Anolis sagrei: one gene and its partner. The protein of the gene in region 1 purifies or fractionates together with the protein of each later gene. This does not show direct contact. Links are inferred from orthologs where the notes say so. Each region holds a gene or a part of one and is shown on either strand. Other genes may lie near its edges.

The links.
Region 2: the proteins of PTPN6 (region 1) and RPL35A purify together in Homo sapiens (affinity purification with mass spectrometry; 3 studies listed by BioGRID and IntAct, with this or other methods). This does not show direct contact. The link is inferred for Anolis sagrei from reciprocal best matches to the Homo sapiens genes PTPN6 and RPL35A.

The regions. Positions count from the first base shown.
Region 1 is NC_090022.1:198,222,026-198,232,462, reverse strand, and holds the start of PTPN6 (tyrosine-protein phosphatase non-receptor type 6), read right to left. Parts: upstream 4,903-10,437; 5' UTR 4,738-4,902; intron 2,614-4,737; 5' UTR 2,547-2,613; coding exon 2,533-2,546; intron 1-2,532. UniProt on the Homo sapiens protein: Tyrosine phosphatase enzyme that plays important roles in controlling immune signaling pathways and fundamental physiological processes such as hematopoiesis.
Region 2 is NC_090023.1:267,626,450-267,636,440, forward strand, and holds the start of RPL35A (large ribosomal subunit protein eL33), read right to left. Parts: upstream 4,290-9,991; 5' UTR 4,201-4,289; intron 1-4,200. Other genes in the region: IQCG (dynein regulatory complex protein 9), read left to right, coding at 4,517-4,551.

The DNA of each region.
Region 1 (10,437 bases):
CAGTATTGAAAAAAAAAAAAACCCTCCAAAATCAGGACAGTAAATAAAGAGCAACACTCAGAAAACAGAGGAATTCCAGACAAGAAACAATCAGGGCTAGCTAACACCTCTCAAAAAAGGATTCCACAGGCAGGAAGCAGCCAGGCTTTGGAGCTGCAAGGCTATTCAATGCTAATCAAACTGGCCAATTGCAACACTCACATTTGCCTCAAACAAACAAGAGTTCTTTCTCCCACCCGGGACATTCCACAGATATATAAATTTCACTTGCCTAGTTTCCAACAGACCTCACAAACTTCTGAGGATGCCTGCCATAGGTGTGGGCAAAACATGATTTACAGGATAATAATCACAATTGTGTGGCTTGTAAGTTGTGTTGAGCCCTCACCAGACTCCCTCTTTTAATCTCTAAAATCCAGCCTTGAAATGGCTGCATGTCCCTAGAAACTTCAAAAGCAGTGGTTCTCAACCTGTGGTCCGTGGACCACCAGTGGTCCACAAGAACTAACATGTGGTCTGCAGCCTCACCGTTACTACACCATTGCAATGAGAGCAACTGTTCTCACAAAACCTGAGGCTTATTAAATATAGTTTTCTGTGGGCAAGCAGATGGTGACTATTGGATGGTGTCTGTTCTGCATCAGAAACTAGAGCTGATGTGGTCTATCCAATGCAATTTTCTGAATCAGCACCCCAAATAACCAAACCGAATCGAAAGTTGACCAAAAATGATTTGTAACCCTTTTCCCTGGTCAAGTGGTCCCTGGTCAAAAAAAGCTTGGGAACCATTCATTTAGCCAATACTCAACCTAGCTTCACAAGAAAGAAGCAAGTGACAGATGGAAGAGGTCTGTGGATCCACAAAACTGATTCAGACCTCGCCAATCCAGCTATTTCACAGTAATTCCTTCTCCAGCAGGAGAACAACTTGAGCAAATATCTGCTACAAAAATTTAGGTTTAGTTGGTGATGTCAGAGCTTAAGCGAGGGCATTTCTGCATGCATAATATTTGCTTATCACTGTGGTTGCCACAATACAATGTCCAATCATTATCCTCTCTTATGGCCCAGGTGAAAACAGGATTTAAATGGACATTAAATGTTGGTCTCCTCTTCCATTCAAAAGAGAAAGAAAGGAAATGAAGACACCACTGGTGACACTTCTCTCACCAGAAAGTGATACATTCAATCTCAAAGGGTACAACATTTCAAGCAGAATGAAATGTGTAAAAATGTGGATCTGGGAGAGATTTTGCAAGCCAAGTTCCTGTGATCTTGCATCAGACTAGCCATAGCTCTGATGTTTTGCATCAGCCATAAAATACCTTTCGCATCAGTCCAGAGACAAAAGCCCTGAGCCGTGAAGGAAGGAAGACTGCAGCAGCCCCAAATCATTTAAGGAACAGCCAGAAGCCTTCCACCCACATTTTTTTGTTTAACTTTGAAACATCAACTGCCAAATAAATACAGAAAGCATGACAGACACACTCACTGCCAACTGAGGAAGATATGTTTACTGACATAATAAACTTATGGGAAGACAGGCATGATGAAATGGGTATTTAGCAAGGCAGTACAAATATGCCCTTTAATTCCGTCACAGAAGTCACCACATTAAGGCTTTTTCAACACTGCCATATAAAATCCAGATTATCTGCCTTGAACTGGATTATATGACAGTGTAGACTCATATAATCCAGTTCAAAGCAGATAATGTGGATTATCTGCTTTAATAATTTGGATTATATGGCAGCGTAAAAGGAGCCTAGAGATCACCTGCAAAATGTGGGGTGGGGTGGGGAGTGTCATCTTGAGATACAAGTGAATTATAATACCCATCATCCCTATTCAATGGCCATGTTGGTTGTAGCTGATGAAAGATTGGAATCTAAACATTTTGGGATTACTCTTGTTTATTTATTTATTTATTTACTATATTTATATACCATCCCTCTCAGCCCACAGGCAACTCGGGGAGGTTTACAGTTGGTACCAAGACCATAAAATACAATTTCAATCCAATAAAAACAATTGGATAATAAAACCATAATAAAATTAATAAAAACACAAACATTAGGGTCGCCCGTTAAAAACATTGTCCAATCACATTGTCCAACCATTCCATTTCCCTATGTCTATTACACTGTATTTGCAAATGCCTGCTCAAAACGCCAAGTCTTGACTTTCTTCTGAAATGTTAAAAGGAAGGGGGCCGATCAGATATCCTTAGGGAGGGTGCTCCATAGCTGAGGGGCCACCACTGAGAAGGCCCTGTCTTTCGTCCCCACCAGCCATACTTGTGATGAAGTTGGGGCTGAGAGCAGGGCCTCCCCAGATGATCTTAAAGTCCTGGAAGGTTCATAAGGAGAAACACGTGGTTCCCCACAACTGCTTCAAACTTCATTATAGACACTGCTAGCAAAATCGTTATTTTAATTTTCCTTACAGTTTCTGATTCCCTTCCCAAAGATATTCTTCTGCTATGAATTAGGTTCCTAGGCAAAATAAAAATCCAGCTTGGGAGAAACGTACCTGCAGGATGGCATCAGGATCCCAGACACTGGGGACCCCACTAAGGAAAGCTGAAAAGGTGGGATTCCACAGCATGCAGTCCTGGGGAGAAAAAAAACCAAATCAGGAGGATGATCAAAAACTGAAGAAAAAAACATGCAGTACCTGCATACACCAAACACACACACAGTAGAGTCTTGCTTATCCACCCTTCACTTATCCAACATTGTGTATTATCCAACGCAGTCTGCTTCCAGCCCGAATCCACAGCTGTTTCAATACATTGTAATGTTATGGTGCTAAATTCATAAATACAGTAATTACTACATAACGTTACTGTGTATTGAATTGCTTTTTCTATTGCTTTGTTGTAAAACATGATGTTTTGGTGCTTAATTTGTAAAATCATAATGTAATTTGACTTTTAATAGGCTTTTCCTTAATCCCTCCTTATTATCCAATATCCAACATTCTCCCAGCCCGTTTACGTTGGGTGTGTGTGTGTGTGCGTGCGTGCGTGTGTGTGTGTATATATATATATATAATATGTCATTATCTTTAAGGCCCCTTCTGCATTGCCTTACAAAATCCAGATTATCTGCTTTGAACTGGATTATATGACAATATAGACCAGGCACTGGCAAACTTTGGCCCTCTGGGTGTTTTGGACTTCGACTCCCACAATTCCTAACAGCCTACTGGCTGTTAGGAATTGTGGGAGTCAAAGTCCAAAACACCCAGAGGGCCAGAGTTTGCCTGTGCCTGCTGTAGACCCATATAATCTAGTTCAATTTTGATTATCTAAATTATATGGTAGTGTAGAAGGGGCCATAACTATATATACAATTGTCATTTTGCTTTCTGTGTTTCTGGGATTATTCTATTATCTAGAACAACAAATGGAAATAAGTAAATAAGTATTGCACATATGCCCCAAGAATATAACAACATATTGAATTGTGTATATGTTTGTGTGTAGATTTGAGAGACTGCAAGTCACTTCTGGTGTGGGAGAATTGGCCGTCTGCAAGGATGTTGGCCAGGGGATGCCCAGATGTTTTGATGTTTTACCATCCTAGTGGGAGCCTTCACTCATGTCCCCATATAGAGAGCTGGAGCTGACAGAGGGAGCTCATCCATGTTCTCCCCATATTCGAACCTCCAACCTGTCGATCTTCAGTCCTGCCGGCACAAGGGTTTAACCCGTTGCACCACCGGGGGCGCCTATCGATCTGTTCTTGATCATATTAACAATTACCATAATGACCATAACGCTGTCTTTGTATTTCCTTTCGAAACAATTTATGTTTCAATACATTATAATATTTCCCACCATTACAAAACCTCTAGACGTTGCTGTATCTTTCCACATCCAAAGACTATTACATCCCCTTCCATACAGCTGAATAAAATCTCCCACTTTCTGCTTTGAACTGGAATATAATGCACTGTGGACTCAGATAATCCAGTTCAAAGCAGATATTGTGGGATTTTCTGCCTTGATATATATCTTCCCGCAGGAGTGGTACCTATTTATCTACTCACATTTGCATGTGTTTGAACTGCTAGGTTGTCAGAAGCTGGGGCTAACAGCAGGAGCTCAGCCCACTCCCTGGATCTGAACTGCCGACCTCTCAGTCAGCAAGTTCAGCAGCTCAGCAGTTTAATCCACTGCACCACGGGGGGCTCCAATCAATAGGGTTTCGTCCAATAGGATTATAATCCCATGTCAGATTTTCAATTAATGATTTGTTGATTTCCTATCCAAGATTTCATTCAGAACATCAACTTAGGTACTAACAAATGTGCCGGTAACTTTGAATTTCTTTTTTACAGTTTCTTTGTTGCCTAAAGTATCTTTGGTGTAAATATATACCTCCTGTGAGGGATCTCATCCTATTGGGGGAGCGATCTTGTAAAAGTTGACTCAAGGGTTAAGTCCATTGGCCCCAATGACACTTATTTCCAGGAATGTGGAAATACAAACCGAGCCTGAGGATATCTTTCTTTGTCAAGTGCTGCATTGCTCCCAGATATACAAAATTTAAAAGTTGGCAACTATGTTTTTACACTGACAATAGTTGCTGGAGAAAAACAGGAATATAATATTAATTATTGTGTTAGTTATTAATATCAATAAAAGCAAGAGGCCTAATGCAATAAAACATTGCATCGGGTGCATGCCTGTTGCATTCAAACTGGAAAGGCTCATAGCTAAAAATTTACCTGTTCAGGCGTGAAGGTTCTTCCTTAGTGACCCAGGGAGAAGGAGATGGAAATCCGGCTCAAACGTTTAGTTTTTGTAAACAAGGCCCCATTATTTTCCCTGGCAAATGTCTCCCTGAGCACTAGTTAGTTAATGAACACACAGGAATGGTATCAGGAAGGGAAAAGCGCAACCTGAGGGAGAAACAGGTAACCAGGGGAGGGACAACCTGTTCTCCCCGCCCCGTTCACCTTCGGCAGGGCTCTCTCTAGGTGGATCTGTGCTCAGTTTGGAACTGAAATGCACCCATCAGAACAAAACACACAATTGCTGTGCATTTAACTGGCCCTGCGGACCCTCTGCAGCACCCAGTTTAGCAGCCCAATGGTGACTAAAGCTGCCACTTCTTCAGAGACACAGATCCTTGACTGCCATCATAAGGACCCAGCTTACTTACTTACTTAGGCGATCCCTCGTTGTCAGAGTAGGATAATCCTCCAGGGTGGGTCCGTAGATCAGTGTACTGATGGGTCCGGAGGTGGCTATAGAGCCCTATTCTTGATCTGCATCTTCTCCCGCAGTGAAGGCATTGGTTTCCAGGTGGAAAGCGATCTCGGTTGGGGTTGGCTTGATGCGCCATCCTCTTGGTACGTTTCTCTTTCGTGCCTCTTCAAATTCTACAGCACTGTTGGTCACAGCTGACCTCCAGCTGGAGACCCTGCACTTCACATGTGAACAATTTTAAGGCCTAAACCAGGCATGGGCAAATGTCAGCCCTCCAGGTGTTTTGGACTTCAACTCCCACAATTCCTAACAGCCTATGCCTGTCCTAAACTCTTCATGCTCTGTATAAATATGGCATTGATTATTGATCCAAATTAATATTTTCTCTAAAAAGGTAAATACACCCATGAGATTCCAGTTCTATTGTAAGAGAGCTATACTTTTGTTGCTTGCATGAGTCAATGATATTATTTATACACTCACCACTTTGAATCTTTATCATTCCTAAACACACTTTAGGAATGATAAAGAGGAAACGGCCCCGGCCCAGTTTACCTGTCCCTTTACGAACCACCTCGGAAACCAAGATCATCAGGGGAGGCCCTGCTCTCGGTCCCACTACCATCACATGTGCGTTTGATGGGAACGAGAGACAGGGCCTTCTCAGTGATTGCCCTCCAGTTATGGAACTCCCTTCCTGGCAATATTAGATCAGCCCCTTCCCTCCTGTCCTTCAGAAGGATGGTGAAGACCTGGCTGTGGGACCAAGCCTTTAGGGCCGTGCAATGAGGCAAAATGGTGTCCTGAGATGGTTTTTAAGCAACTTTCAATGTGGATATAAGTGATTTTAATGTTTGTATATATTTATGGTTATATGTCCCGGCATTGAATGTTTGCCGTAAATATGTAGTGCTCCGCCCTGTGTCCCCTGCAGGGTGAGAAGGGGGGGGGGGATATAAATGTTTTAAATAAAAATAAAATAAATTCTGTCCTGACATTTCTGCCACATCTATGGCAGGCATCCTCAGAGGGTGAGAGGTCTGTTGGAAACAAAGCAAGTGAGGTTTATATATCTGTGGAATGTCCAGGGTGGGAGAAAAAAAGTCTTATTGCTATTGGCCACCTTGATTGGCATTGAATGGCAGTGCAGCTTCAAAGACTGGCTGCTTCCTGCTTGGGGGAATCCTTTGTTTGTAGATGTTAGCTGGCTTTGATTGTTTCATGTGTTTTGTGTGTTGCTCTTTATTTACAGTCTTGATTTTAGTTTTTTTAAATACTGGTAGCCAGATTTTGTTCATTTTTATGGTTTCCTCCTTGATGTTGAAGTTGTCCACAGCCTCTGAGGATGCCTGCCATAGATGTAGGCGAAACGGCAGGAGAGAATGCTTCTTGAATATGTCCATACATGTTCTCCTCAGAACATGTTGCTGACATGTACTCCTCAGAAGCATCTCTTCAACCAGTGCACTGGACTGGACAGGACTTTGGTCTGACCCAAAGCGGGCCTCTTTTTTTTACATCTACTCAAAAGGTTCCCATGGCTGCAGTCTGAAGGGTGGTTATAGCCCCAGTAGAAACCACTCAGTCCCCACACCATTTTCTCAATGTAAGTCTCTCCACCAATTATAACTTGGTAACAGAGGAGCCCATGGTGGCGCAGTGGGTTAAAGCACTGAGCTGCTGAATTTGCTAACCGAAAGGTCGCAGTTTCGAATCCAGGGAGCGGTGTGAGCTCCCATTGTTAGCCCCTGCTTCTGCCAACCTAGCAGTTTGAAAACATGCAAATGTAAGTAGATCAATAGGTACCGCTTCTGCAGGAAGGTAACAGTGCTCCATCCAGTCATGCGGACCACATGACTTTGGAGGTTCTATGGACAATGCCAGCTCTTCGGCTTAGAAATTGAGATTAACACCAATCCCCCAGAGTCGGACACGACTGGACTTAATGTCAGGAGAAAACCTTTGTTTATACAAACTGGGAAGATTCAAAATGAAGTATAAGGAGCAGAATTGGGTCCCCCCCCCCCTCCCATGAATGGAAACTATATTAAGGCCCCTTCTGCATGGCCATATAAAATCCAGATTATCTCCCTTAAACTGGATTATATGGCAGTGTAGACTCATATAATCGAGTTCATGTCAATTATCTGCATTGATAATCTGGATTATATGGTGGTATATGTATAAATGTATAAATATATTTGGAGGTATATGTATAAATCTGTAAATGCTGAATTCCTACGTCGCCAGTCGTTTGTAAGCCACTTTGTGTCCCATATTGGAAGAAGGCCAGGTTAATCAACATAGATATTGGTTTAACTATGGGCCATGAGCATTAGACATGATTTAGGAAAAAAATAGTACCTGCTCAGTAATTAATTTATAACAAAGCATGTTGTTTCAGCACGTATCATTAATAGATAAATAACAAGAAAAGGGGCATCCATGTGTTCCTGATTTGCATACTTGCAGACTTTGCATTTTACTGCTTATTAATGACCATAAGACATTTTACTGCCAGTCCTGCTATCTGTCACAAGTAGAGCTCGGCTTCACAGAAACTGGAGACCAAAAGGAGAGACACTATTCCTGGGGAAAGATCCAACCTCCATTACTGGATATCTTAACAGAAGCTGAAAAATATTATTATAGAACATTTGACTGTTCAATCTACAGTGTCAAGAACCTTTATTGCTCTTTCGAATGAAGTCCATCTTTTAGCAATGATGCACCAATTCATTTTTGAGACTCTGCAAAAGCCAACACTTAGCTGTTGGGGAAAAGGCCATTAGGCGGATGTTTATTTTTACCCATAGTCACTGTTGGTCAAACTTTATATGATAACTGAAAATAAGCTTATCCGGGAACAATGTCCATCTAATTGCATACAGATTGTCATCCTAGATAAGTGTTCCTAGAAGTTGAAAAAAAGTTTTCCCTTGATCACTCATTCAAGTATGCGAAGTAGCAATGACACGTTTGTGACCCAGCATTTGCTCTCAGATGCAGCTCAGCTTGTTCTGCAAGGTAAGACTTGCCTCTATTACTGTCATGTCATACTGTGTTTTCACATATTTAGTGGACAGAGATCTATGAGCCTGAGATTCAGGTTTCTAAAGCAATGAAAAGATTGTGATTGAAATACCAAAGCATATCTTCCCCCATGAACCAATGGAGCACCTGTGGTGCAATGGGTTAAACCTTTTTGCCAGCAGGACTGCTGACTGAAAGGTTGGCGATGGGAGCAGGGAGCGGAGCTCCCATGGGAGCGGGGTGAGCTCCCATTTGTCAGCTCCAGCTTCTCATGCAGGGACATGAGAGAAGCCTCCCACAGGATGGTAAAACACCCTGGCGTCTCCTTGGCAATGTCCTTGCAGACAACCAGTTCTCTCAAACAGAAGCAACTTGCAATTTCTCAAGTCACTCCTGACACAGAAAAACAAAACAAAACCATGAACCAATACTAAGACTGCCAATGTGGGTTCGACAACTTTTCTGATTGCCAAGGGCATCTGTCGTCGTCATCATCATCATCATATCTGATATCAATTTCCATCAGAGATTATTCAGGTCTACGAGGAACAATGTTTTGTTTGTATTGTTTTGCTTGCTCTTTGGTGTTGCCTATACTTTAAGGTAAAATTATTTCTCAAGTATAATTAGTGTGTTGTTTCCAAGGAGACGTTGGCAAATATTTTTTGCTGCTTCCACTTTTGTCTGGTAATCAGATTTATAACAGAACGATAGCATTGTAACTATTTTGACGCACCTTTTGGATTCTCCCTTTCAAGTAAGATGGACAGATGCCTAATTTTCAGCTTTCTATAATTATCAGGGTGCCTTGGCTTTTGTGTACAAAACTTCCCAAGTATCCAGTTTCTTGGTATGTGTTTTCATTATTTTTATATTTTCATAAGCGAATCTGGGCCTTAACACACTGACTATCCAGCCTCGAAATAGTATTATGGAAACAAGAGAGTTAGAACACGGGGGATATCTTGTCCAACCCCTTCTGCCATGCCAGAATACACAATCAAAGGACTCCCAGTAGATGGTCATTCAGCCTGTACTTTAAAACCTCCAGAGAAGGAACTCCAGCACACTCCAAGGAAATATATTCCACTGTCAAACAGCTCTTACTGTCGGGATGTTCTTCCTAATTTTTACGTGGGATCGCTTTTCCTGAAGTTTGAATCCATTGCTCCAAATCCAAGTCTTTGGAGCAGCAGAAAACTTGGTTGGTCCATCTTCAGTATACTATCCCTTGATTTTTTTTCTCTCGCATGGCTATCATGTCATCTCTTCCTCAGTCTAAACATACACTGTCCCTAAGCTACTCTTCGTATGACATGGCTTTCAGGTCCTTGATCATTTTGGTTGCCCTGCTCTGGACACATTTTAGCTTATCAATACCTTTCTTGAATTGAACACAGTATCCCAAGTCAAATCTGACCAAAGCAGAATAGAGTGGCACTCATGCATCCTTCAGTCTAGATCAGGCATTGGCAAACTTTGGCCCTCTAGGTGTTTTGGGCTTTTCAATGTAAATCTCTCCACAAACCGGCTGTTAGGAATTGTGGAAATTGAAGTCCAAACACCTGGAGGGTTGAAATTTGCCCATGCCTGATCTAGACACTATACTCCTATTGATGCAGTTTTTAATTGCATTGACTTTTTTTAGCAGCTGAATCACCGTGTTGTCTCATATTTAGCTTGAGGTCTACCGAAACTCCAAAATTCCCTTCACATGTACTGTTTTCAGGCCAGGTGTAACCCATGAGATAGATAAATATTTATTTACTTTGCTTATATACCGCTGTTCTCAGCCCGCATTTATATATGCGCATTTCATTTTTCTACCTAAGTGTATCTTGCATTTCTCCCTGTTGAAATTGATTTGGTTTGTTTTAGTCCATCTCAATGTTCTGTTAAAGTCATTTAAAATTATAATCTTGCCCTGTAATTTGGTGTCATCTGAAATTTTATAAGCATGTTTTCTATTCCATCATCCAGGTCACTGATGAATGTCATTATTTGGGGGGGGGGGGGATTGACTGTTTTAATTATATTGTTCATTGTTAATTTTTTTAATTACTTTGTGAATTCTTGTTGATGCTGGGCTTAGTCCCCATGTAAGCCGCCTCGAGTCCCTTTGGGGAAGATGGTGGCGGGATATAATAGCTATTACTATTATTTGAAACACAACAAGATGAATC
Region 2 (9,991 bases), on another chromosome or scaffold:
CCTTTCTCAGCCAGACGCGACACAAAGCGGTTCAGTCGAAAGTGATTCAATGCCATAACAAATATCAAAATACAATTAATACAAATATAAAAACAATTCAACATTTAAAATGTAATATAAGAAGCAAATATATCTGTAAAAACAAGATCCCCAGCATCTCCTTACTAAAATCATTGTCCAGTTGCATCGTCAGTCATTCCATATATTCATTTACGTCTAGTTATGCTCTAGTAGAAAAAGCTTGCTTGAAGATCCAGGTCTTAACCATTTTGCGGAATGTTAGAATGGAGGGGCCACCACTGAGATGGCCCTGTCTCTCATCCCCAATATGATATATTGTATGTATATGTATCTTGTAAGCTACTCTGAGTCCCCTTCGGGGTGAGAAGGGCAGCATATAAATGTTGCAAATAAATAAATAAAAAAATAAATGATGAAGGACATGTTTTTGTATCTTCTCTTTTTGCCATTCAGTGGCAATTTGCAACTGAAGTAAGTTGAGGACAAAGGAGGAGAGAAGAACTAGAATGTTTTAGCAACAGCAAACAAAGCGGGATGATAAAGGATTAATTGGGACTATTTAAGGGTGCATTTATAATATAGAATTAATGCAGTTTGAAATCCCTTTAACTGGCTCAATGTTATGGAATCCTGGGAGTTGTAGTTTTGTTAGGAAGCAGTCTTCCTTGGCAGACCTTGTAAAACGACAACTCTGAGGATTCCATAGCATTGAGCCAGGGAAGTGAAAGTGGCATCAAATCACATTAATTCTACAGTGAAGATGCAGCCAGCAGTGAATTTCTTGTTTAGACTTCGGTTCCATTTCTATTATGGCAGAATTTAAAAACAAAATTAAAGATTCTTCTCTTCAGGCAGGCCTACCCAATCAAACCTGAATCACAAGTTTTTAATTTGCATTGCATTGTCACTATATGTTGATTTCTATACCCCATGTATGTTCTTAATTATAGTGTTTTTATCTGTGTATTTTATGTTAGTTTTTCATCGACTTAAATCAAGAAATAGTTTTCTAAGATCTACAGAGACACTTGCTGGAACACCTCAGCAAGCGAGAGTCCAAAAGTGGCAGGCTCAAACCCAGAACCTCAACCAATGGCTGATACCAAATGAGAGAGTCCCTCCTGGGCACACAGAAGACTGGGTGACTTGGAAGGCACTGAACAGACTGCGCTCCACAAGATGCAAAGTCAACCTTAAGAAATGGAGCTACAAAGTGGAATCCACAACATGCGAGTGTGGTGAAGAGCAAACCACTGTCCACCTGCTGCAATGCAACCTGAGCCCTGCCACATGCACAATGGAGGACCTTCTTGTGGCAACACCAGAGGCACTCCAAGTGGTCAGATACTGGTTCAAAGGACATTTAATCAACTACCAAGCTTGCAAACTTTGAGTTTTGTTTGTTTGTTAAAAAATGCAATGCAACTGTTTGGTCTGCCTCTGACACGATAAATAAATAAATATGTTAGTTTGTCTTGATTTTATTCAGGAATGGGCAAACTTCAGTCCTCCAGGTGTTTTCGACTTCACCTCCATTAGGCTTTTAGGAATTGTGGGAGTTGAGGACCAATAATAATAATAATAATAATAATTCCTTATTTCTAGACTGCCCTCTCTCCCCGGAAAGACTCAGGGCGGTTTACAAAATATATGGAGGGAGGGCCGAAGTTTGCCTACGCCCATTCTATGTTGTATCCTGCCTCGAGCCAAGGCAGAGAGTATAAATAAAGTGTACTATTGTGTTGTTGAAGGCTTTCATGCCCAGAATCAATGGATTGCTGTGAGTTTTTTGGACTGTGTGGCCATGTTCCAGTTGATTTCTCTCCTGCTTCTGTGGCTGGCATCTTCAGAGGTTCTGTTGGCAATGAAGCAAGTCTATCTATCTGCAGAATGTCCATGGCGGGAGGAAGAACACTTGTCTGTGAATGTTGCAATTAGTAAGAATTGAGTAGCCTTTCACCTGCAGTATCAATCTGTGAAGTTATCTGCTTAGAGGTGGTTAACAGTATTAAAAAAAAACACCAGAATTAGGATAGTAAATAAGGAACACCACTCAGAAACAGAACTCCAGATAGCAAACAATCAAGAGCCAATTAACACCCCCCAGAGGATGTCTCCAGGCAACAAAGAGCAGGCTCCCTCTATGCCAGTGGTTCCTAGCCTTTGGGCCTCCAGGAATTTTGAACTTTAGCTCCCACAGTTCCTAACAGCTGGTCCAAAACACCTGGAGCCCAAAGGTTGGGAACCACTGCTCTATGCAGATACCTTACCATTGACTTTACAGCTTAGTGGCTACTCAATGCTATTCAAGCTTGCTAATTGCAACATTCACATTTGTGTTAAGCAAACAAGGGTTCTTTCTTCCACCTTGGACATTTATCCCACAGGTTTATATATATATATACTAGCCGTCCCCTGCCGCGCGTTGCTGTGGTCCAGTCTCTGTATTTGTGTTTTGTGTGTGTATATATTTTTATTTTTGTGTATATATGTGGTTTTGCGCATGTGTTCTAATGTTTTGGTTTGGTTTTTTTGCTTTTTATGTCTTTTTTGCTGTGTTTTTCAGTATTTTCATGAGTGATGGTTACTTCTTGGCCTGATACGTGTATTGTGTCCAATTTGGTGTCAATTTACCCAGTGGTTTTTGAGTGATGTTAATCCCACAAATGAACATTACATTTTTATTTATATAGATGGATATATATTGTAAATAAGTAATTATATTTATTATAGTAGCATCACTATTTCAATATTATTATATTGTATTATGATTAGCACTATATTGCATTACATTATAATATTATTATCAATATTACATGTATATACAATATACTAAATTAGCATAACACACTATTAGTATTATATATTTCTATATTGTAGCATAGCACTATACTGCAATCTATATAAATAAAAATGCAATGTTCGTTTGTGGGATTAACAGAACTCAAAAACCACTGGGGGAATTGCAACCAAATTTGGCCACAAGACACCTACTAACCCAAGGAGTGACCATCACTAAAAAAAAATGAGTTTGTCATTTGGGAGTTGTAGTTGCTGGGATGTATAGTTCACCTACAAACAAAGAGCATTCATAACCCCACCAACGATGGAATTGAACCAAACTTGGCACACATTTCTCCCATGACCAACAGAAAATACTGGAAGGGTTTGGTGGGCAGTGTCCTTTGGTTTTGGAGTTGTAGTTCACCTACATCCAGAGATCACTGTGGACTCAAACAATGATGGATCTGGACCAAACTCTACACGAACACTCAATATGCCCAAATGTGAACACTGGTGGAGTTTGGGGGAAATAGAATCTTGACATCTGGGAGTTGTAGTTGCTGGGATTTATAGTTCACCTACAATCACAGAGCATTCTGAACGCCACTGATAGAATTGGGCCAAACCTCCCATACAGAACCCTCATGTGGGCCACTGCAACGCTTGGCAGGTGACGACTAGTGTGTGTGTGTGTGTGTATATATATATATATATATATATATATATATATATATATACACACACACACATATGTGATATATATATATATATATATATATATATATATATATAAGTAAAGCACAATATTATATATTACTAGCTGTTCCCTGCCACGCATTGCTGTGGCCCAGTCTGTTGATCTGGAAAATAAAGTAATGAGAAAGTGTTGGTTTCTAATATATGTAATTTCTTTATGCTTGTGGATAAACAGTATTTCTTGTTGTTTCTTTGTCAGTGTTGATGTGTCTTTTGTCCCACCCTGGTCATTCCACAGATATATAAACCCCTTTTCCTACTTCCAACAGACCACACTATCTCTGAGGATGCTTGCCATAGATGCAGGCGAAACGTCAGGAGAGAATGCCTCTAGGACATGGCCACATAGCCCGAAAAAAACCACAAGAACCTAGTGATTCCAGCCATGAAAGCCTTCGACAATACAGGCCTTCCTTCCTTCCCTTCGTCCCATGGAATCAGCCAGCTAAGGCGTAGAAACGAAACTAGGCCAGGCCGCAGCATCCGGCCTCCATCCACGGCATCCCACCGCCTTCCGCCGCCATCCCCGGCTCCTTCCACTCCTCAGACCTCGCTTCACCCGCCGACCCCACTCGGGAGCCGCTTTCCCCGCGGTTTCCACGGATTCCTCCCCACGAAACGCGCGCCCCCCTTCCTCACCTCAGCAGCACCGGCCCAAGATGGCGGCAGAAAGAGAGAGCGGCGCCGCGGTGCAAGCCGGGATAGGGGGACAAAATCGCCAGGACCCCTTCCTTGTTTAGAGATAGGTGGTTACGCTATTCGCCTGACTGAAATATCACAACATTTTGGGGGGTATTTTAAAAAGTGGAATTTAAAACTTCGATTTGGGTGTTTGATTTCCAATATCGAGCTTTTATTTCATCCTCTGTAATTTAACGATTTTTAAAAAATGTCAGGCTTTTATATAGACAGCCTTTTGCTAATGTGAGGGCCCCACAGGAAGTGAGTGGTAACCATGGCGACGTCAAGCTGTGCAAGTGATACCTCTTGGTGAGTGAGTCCCTTCAGAACGGTTCTATTGAGTTGAGAGGGTTTTTCACACAGGAAAAGCATTCAGGAAACATTTGGGAGAAAGCAGCAGAAATTCCAAACACAAAAAGAGGGAATGCAGTGAATATTAAGATGGAAACTATCCCAAGAGAGGAGGCCTCAAGGCCTTCACTAAAGTTAGGCCTCAGGAAAAGGGAAGAACAAATTATCCATCTATCTATCTATCTATCTTTACTTACTTAGGCAATCCCTCATTGTCCAAGTAGGATTGTCTTCTCTCTTTCACCTTCCATTTGTGCCTCTTCAAATTCTGCAGCACTGCTGGTCACAGCTGACCTCCAGCTGGAGCGCTCAAGGGCCAGGACTTCCCAGTTCTCAGTGTCTATGCCTGTGCAGGTACAGCTGTACCAGGAGCTCCAATTTTGTTTGCTTTGCATTGAATGTTTGTAGTCCTAAGTTTCAGGGACTCTGCAGATAGGTGGCTTCTTTTGGCTGCAATCATAGGGCAAGCCACCAGTCAATTATAGTTAGGTTCCCTGGTCCCGCCCCCTTTGGGTTTTTGGAGGGAATAGGAGCCAGTTTGGGTACAGTCCACACAGAGAAGGTTTTCGCACAGGACATAATACCAAGAGCTCCTGTAGAAAGCTTTGTCCATTTTTCAATCTCTTTTCATGTCTTCCAACATTCAATTTTCCGTTCTTGAGTTCGGAGTAGAGTAACTGCTTTGGAGACGGTGGTCGGGCATAATAATAATAATAATACTTTATTTATTTGTTTATTTTAAAATAAATAAAAATAAACGAAACAGAGTGGCAACAATTATGGAGACAAAGACATTAAAAAAATTATCAATACGTGTTAAAGAAAATTATTATAAGTTAATATGGAAGTGGTATCTGACACCAGTAAGATTAGCATATATAAATAAAAATAATTCAAAAAATTGTTGGAGAGGATGTCAAGAACCAGGAATATATATACATATGTGGTGGCAATGTAAATATGTAAATAATTTTTGGGGGAAAGTATTTAGAGAAATAGAAGATATAATGAACATTAAAATTGAGAAAAGCCCTAGTATAGCTTTATTATATAACAATACACAATGGAAAAAGGAGGATAAAGAAACGATAACAAACTTATTAACTATAGCAAGACTGCTCATAGCAAGGAATTGGAAAAAAGAAATGAATATACAAATAGAGGAGTGGTATAAGGAAGCATGGAAAATAGCAATAAATGATAAATTGACATGTATATTAAAAGTTCAAAAAGGTATATGGAAACAAAGTGATTTTGATGTTGTATGGGGAAAATTTGTAGTAAATGGTTTAAAAAACAAAGAAGGAAAGTTACCGTCACAAGAAGAATTGAAATTTTGGACAGACGATATGTAAAAGTTGTGGCTTGATATGGGGGGAGGGGAGCACAGTGGTGGGAAACAAAGGGGGAAAATGCTTAAGTAGAATAATAAGATTATATGTTAAAGAGTGTGTTGAATAATATGTAACTGCTATAACCAAACGCATAACAAATGTAATAACTATGATAAAAAAAAGAAAACCAAATTCTGCAGTACTGCTGGTCACAGCTGACCTTCAGCTGGAGCGCTCAAGGGCCAGGACTTCCCAGTTCTCAGTGTCTATGCCAGAGTTTTTGAGGTTGGCTTTGAGCCAATCTTTAAATCTCTTTTCCTGTCTTCCAACATTCAATTTTCCGTTCTTGAGTCCGGAGTAGAGCAACTGCTTTGGCAGACAGTGGTCGGGCATAATAATAATAATAATAATAATAATACTTTATTTATACCCCGCTACCATCTCCCCAAGGGACTCGGTGCAGCTTACATGAGGCCAAGCCCAACAGTACATCAATAAACAAAAGCAATAACAAAAACAATCAATACAATACAATTAATATAAATCACATAAACAATAAACAGTAACACACAAGAATTTAAAAACCTATGGCCGGGCCAAATGTAATAGTTTAAAATTTAAAAAAATAACGCTGAGCATGAATAAGGTAGGATATAACTGGTATAGGGTTTTCAAAGAGAGATGAGGGAACGCAGTCAGTCCTAAATCAGTGGTAAAGTGCATTTTGAGGGCATATTGCTGAGAGTTTTCCTTATTCTGGGAAGGCACACTGGAACAACCACATTTTGGGGCCCCTCCTAAAGACTGCCAATGTGGGGGCTTGTCTGATATCTTTAGGTAGAGAGTTCTAGAGTCGGGGGGCCACCATAGAGAAGGCCTTCTCCCTCGTCCCTGCCAATCGTGCCTGCGAAGGAGGTGGGAGCGCGAGTAGGGCTTCTCTAGATGATCGAAGAGATAATGTGGGTTCGTACACAGAAATGCGGTCATGCAGGTAGGCGGGTCTCAAACCGTTTAGGGCTTTGTAGGTAAGAACCTACAACGTGACCGGTCCAGCGGAGTTGATGGCAGAGGAACATCGCTTCAATGCTGGTGGTCTTTGCTTCTTCCAGAACACTGACGTTTGTCCGCTTGTCTTCCCAAGAGATTTGCAGGATTTTCTGAAGGCAGCGCTGATGGAATCGTTCCAGGAGTTGCATGTGACGTCTGTAGACAGTCCACGTTTCGCAGGCATATAGCAGGGTTGGGAGGACAATAGCTTTATAAACAAGCACCTTGGTCTCCCTATGGATGTCCCGGTCCTCAAACACTCTCTGCTTCATTTGGAAAAAAGCTGCACTCGCAGAGCTCAGGCAGTATTGTATTTCAGTGTCAATGCTGACTTTTGTGGAGAGGTGACTGCCAAAGTAGCGGAAATGGTCAACATTTTCTAATGTTACACTATTAAGCTGTATTTCTGGCATTGGAGAGGGGTTGGCTGCTGACTGCTGGAAGAGCACTTTGGTTTTCTTGATGTTCAATGACAGGCTGAGCTTCTCATATGCTTCTGTGAAGGTGTATAGAGTGGCTTGTAGGTCTTCTTCTGAATACGCACAATGTTGTAACCCACCTCGAGCCATGAGGAGAGGCAAATAAGAAAAAATTACTATTATTATACGCTAGAATATTATATATGTACCAAAGAACACAGACCAACTAAAGCCTATAGGTAATAAAGCATAGCTTCATTTCCTATAGTATAGTAAGGTCAGCTGCATAGTAAACACTAGTTTAAACCTAAAATTGGAAGCCCATGATAAACAAAGGAACCATAAACACTTTACAGTCCATTCTATGCTTGTGGACAGAATGGCTGGCTATATACAGCCCTGGTGAGGCTGGGTTGTTGTAGGTTTTTCCGGGCTATATGGCCATGTTCTAGAGGCATTTTCTCCTGTCGTTTCGCCTGCATCTATGACAAGCATCCTCAGAGGTAGTGAGGTCTGTTGGAAGTAGGAAAATGGGTTTATATATCTGTGGACTGACCAGGGTGGGACAGGGTGGCCAACAAAAGTCCTTTGTCCCCCCCTGGTCATTCCACAGATATATAAACCCATTTTCCTACTTCCAACAGACCTCACTACCTCTGAGGATGCTTGCCATAGATGCAGGCAAAACGTCAGGAGAAAATGCCTCTAGACCATGGCCATATAGCCCGGAAAAACCTACAACAACCCAGTTATTCCAGCCATGAAAGCCTTTGACAATACCTGGTGAGGCTATTTGAGAATGAGTTATTAACAATGAACATTTTGCATGTCTTCTGGTTCTGGGAGCCTCAGAGACAGTACATAAATCTATATGGTGACATACATATTTCTAAAATTAAAACTAGAATGTACACATTGGTTGGCTGGCAGCAATGGAGAGAAAGAAAGAAAGCCCAGTCATGGAGAGGAAGGAGTGAGGAGAGCATGAAGTGAGGCCACTTTCATCCCAAATATCTCTCAGTGATCTTTTAACATGACAACCTATATAAAATATATAAAAATGTAATCTTCTTTTGCATATGAATGTAGTAAGAAATTTTTCATAGGTAAGTCAATATTTTTGTATGACTTTTTTTCAAAAAAGATTATCAACATCAGGTGACAGGATATTATTCTTGCATCTTCTAACCCAGGCATGGGCAAACTTCGGCCCTCCAGGTGTTTTGGACTTCAACTCCCACAATTCCTGGAGTTATGAGAGTTGAACTCCAAAACACCCGGAGGGCTGAAGTTTGCCTATGCGTGTTCTAACCAAAGTCATGCCATGAAGTGAGATACTTAAGTTATCCTGAATTCATTGCAGATTACTCAAATCAATTTGTTCTTTTATTTTTGTCTTTCATGGATGCCATGTTATTTGGAAGCTTGTTTAGATCAAGTGAATGGCCTTTTAGGCTTTCCCCATGTGAAGAGGAATGAGTTCTCTTTTGGAATAATAAAAATTATATGTCTTGGTGGGGAGAATCGGGATTTTAGAGAACTTCAGGTAGATCTGGGCCAAAACAAAGAGAATCTCATTTAGGAAACACACATTGTAACATCCATAGTGTGGTGAGGTACCGGGTAATATTAAAGACCTTGCAAAACTACAGTGCCCAGGACTTCCAGCATTCAGCCATGGCAGTTCAAGTGGTGTCAAACTGCACCCATTCTGCAGTGCAGATTCACCCTCAGAGGCCCTTGAGGTGTGAATGCCCTTTGGGGAGATAGGGTGATATATAAATAACATTTTATTATTATAATTATTTTATTATTATTATGCACCAGATGATCTCAGTGAGTCCTTTCCAGCTCTACTGTGAATGAACTAACCCTTCCAAGAGACATACCTAGGATTTCTGGGATGCAAATCAAACAGGCTGTTTTCTTTCAATTGTCAGACACTGAATTCACCAGAAGGAGGCACTGCAGGATGCATCTGGGAATCTTCTTTCAGAAGCTCAGAGCAAAAGGCAAAGACCAGTGGACTCTTCAGAATTCTCCTCCAGAACCACATCTTAAATGGGTTTCTTTGGTTCCTATCAGTGTTCTTCCCTGCCCAGCTTTTACAGCCATACATAGAAGTGGGAATACAGTGACATGTTTGATGATTTACATTAAATCTTCTATCTCCATAAATTCAGCCCTCCATGGATTCAAAATATTTCCCTCCTAAAAAAAATCCAAAAAGAAAATCTTGATTTTGTCATTTTATATTAGAAAGCCCACTTTGTTGCATCCATAGACTTCGTTATCCATAGGTTATCCTGGAACCAAATTTCAGTGAACACCAACTATATGGCCAAGGTGATCCATGCCTTAGTCACCTCTAGACTGGATTACTGTAATGCACGCTACATGGGGCTGCCCTTGAAAACGGCTCGGAAATTCCAGATGGTCCAACGGGCAGCGGTCAGGTTGTTAACTGGGGCTCCTTACAGGGAGCAGTCAACCCTCCTGTTCAAGGAGCACCACTTGTTGCCATTCATTTCCGGACCCAATTCAAGGTGCAGGTTCTTACCTACAAAGCCTTGAACGGTTTGGGACCCGCCTACCTGC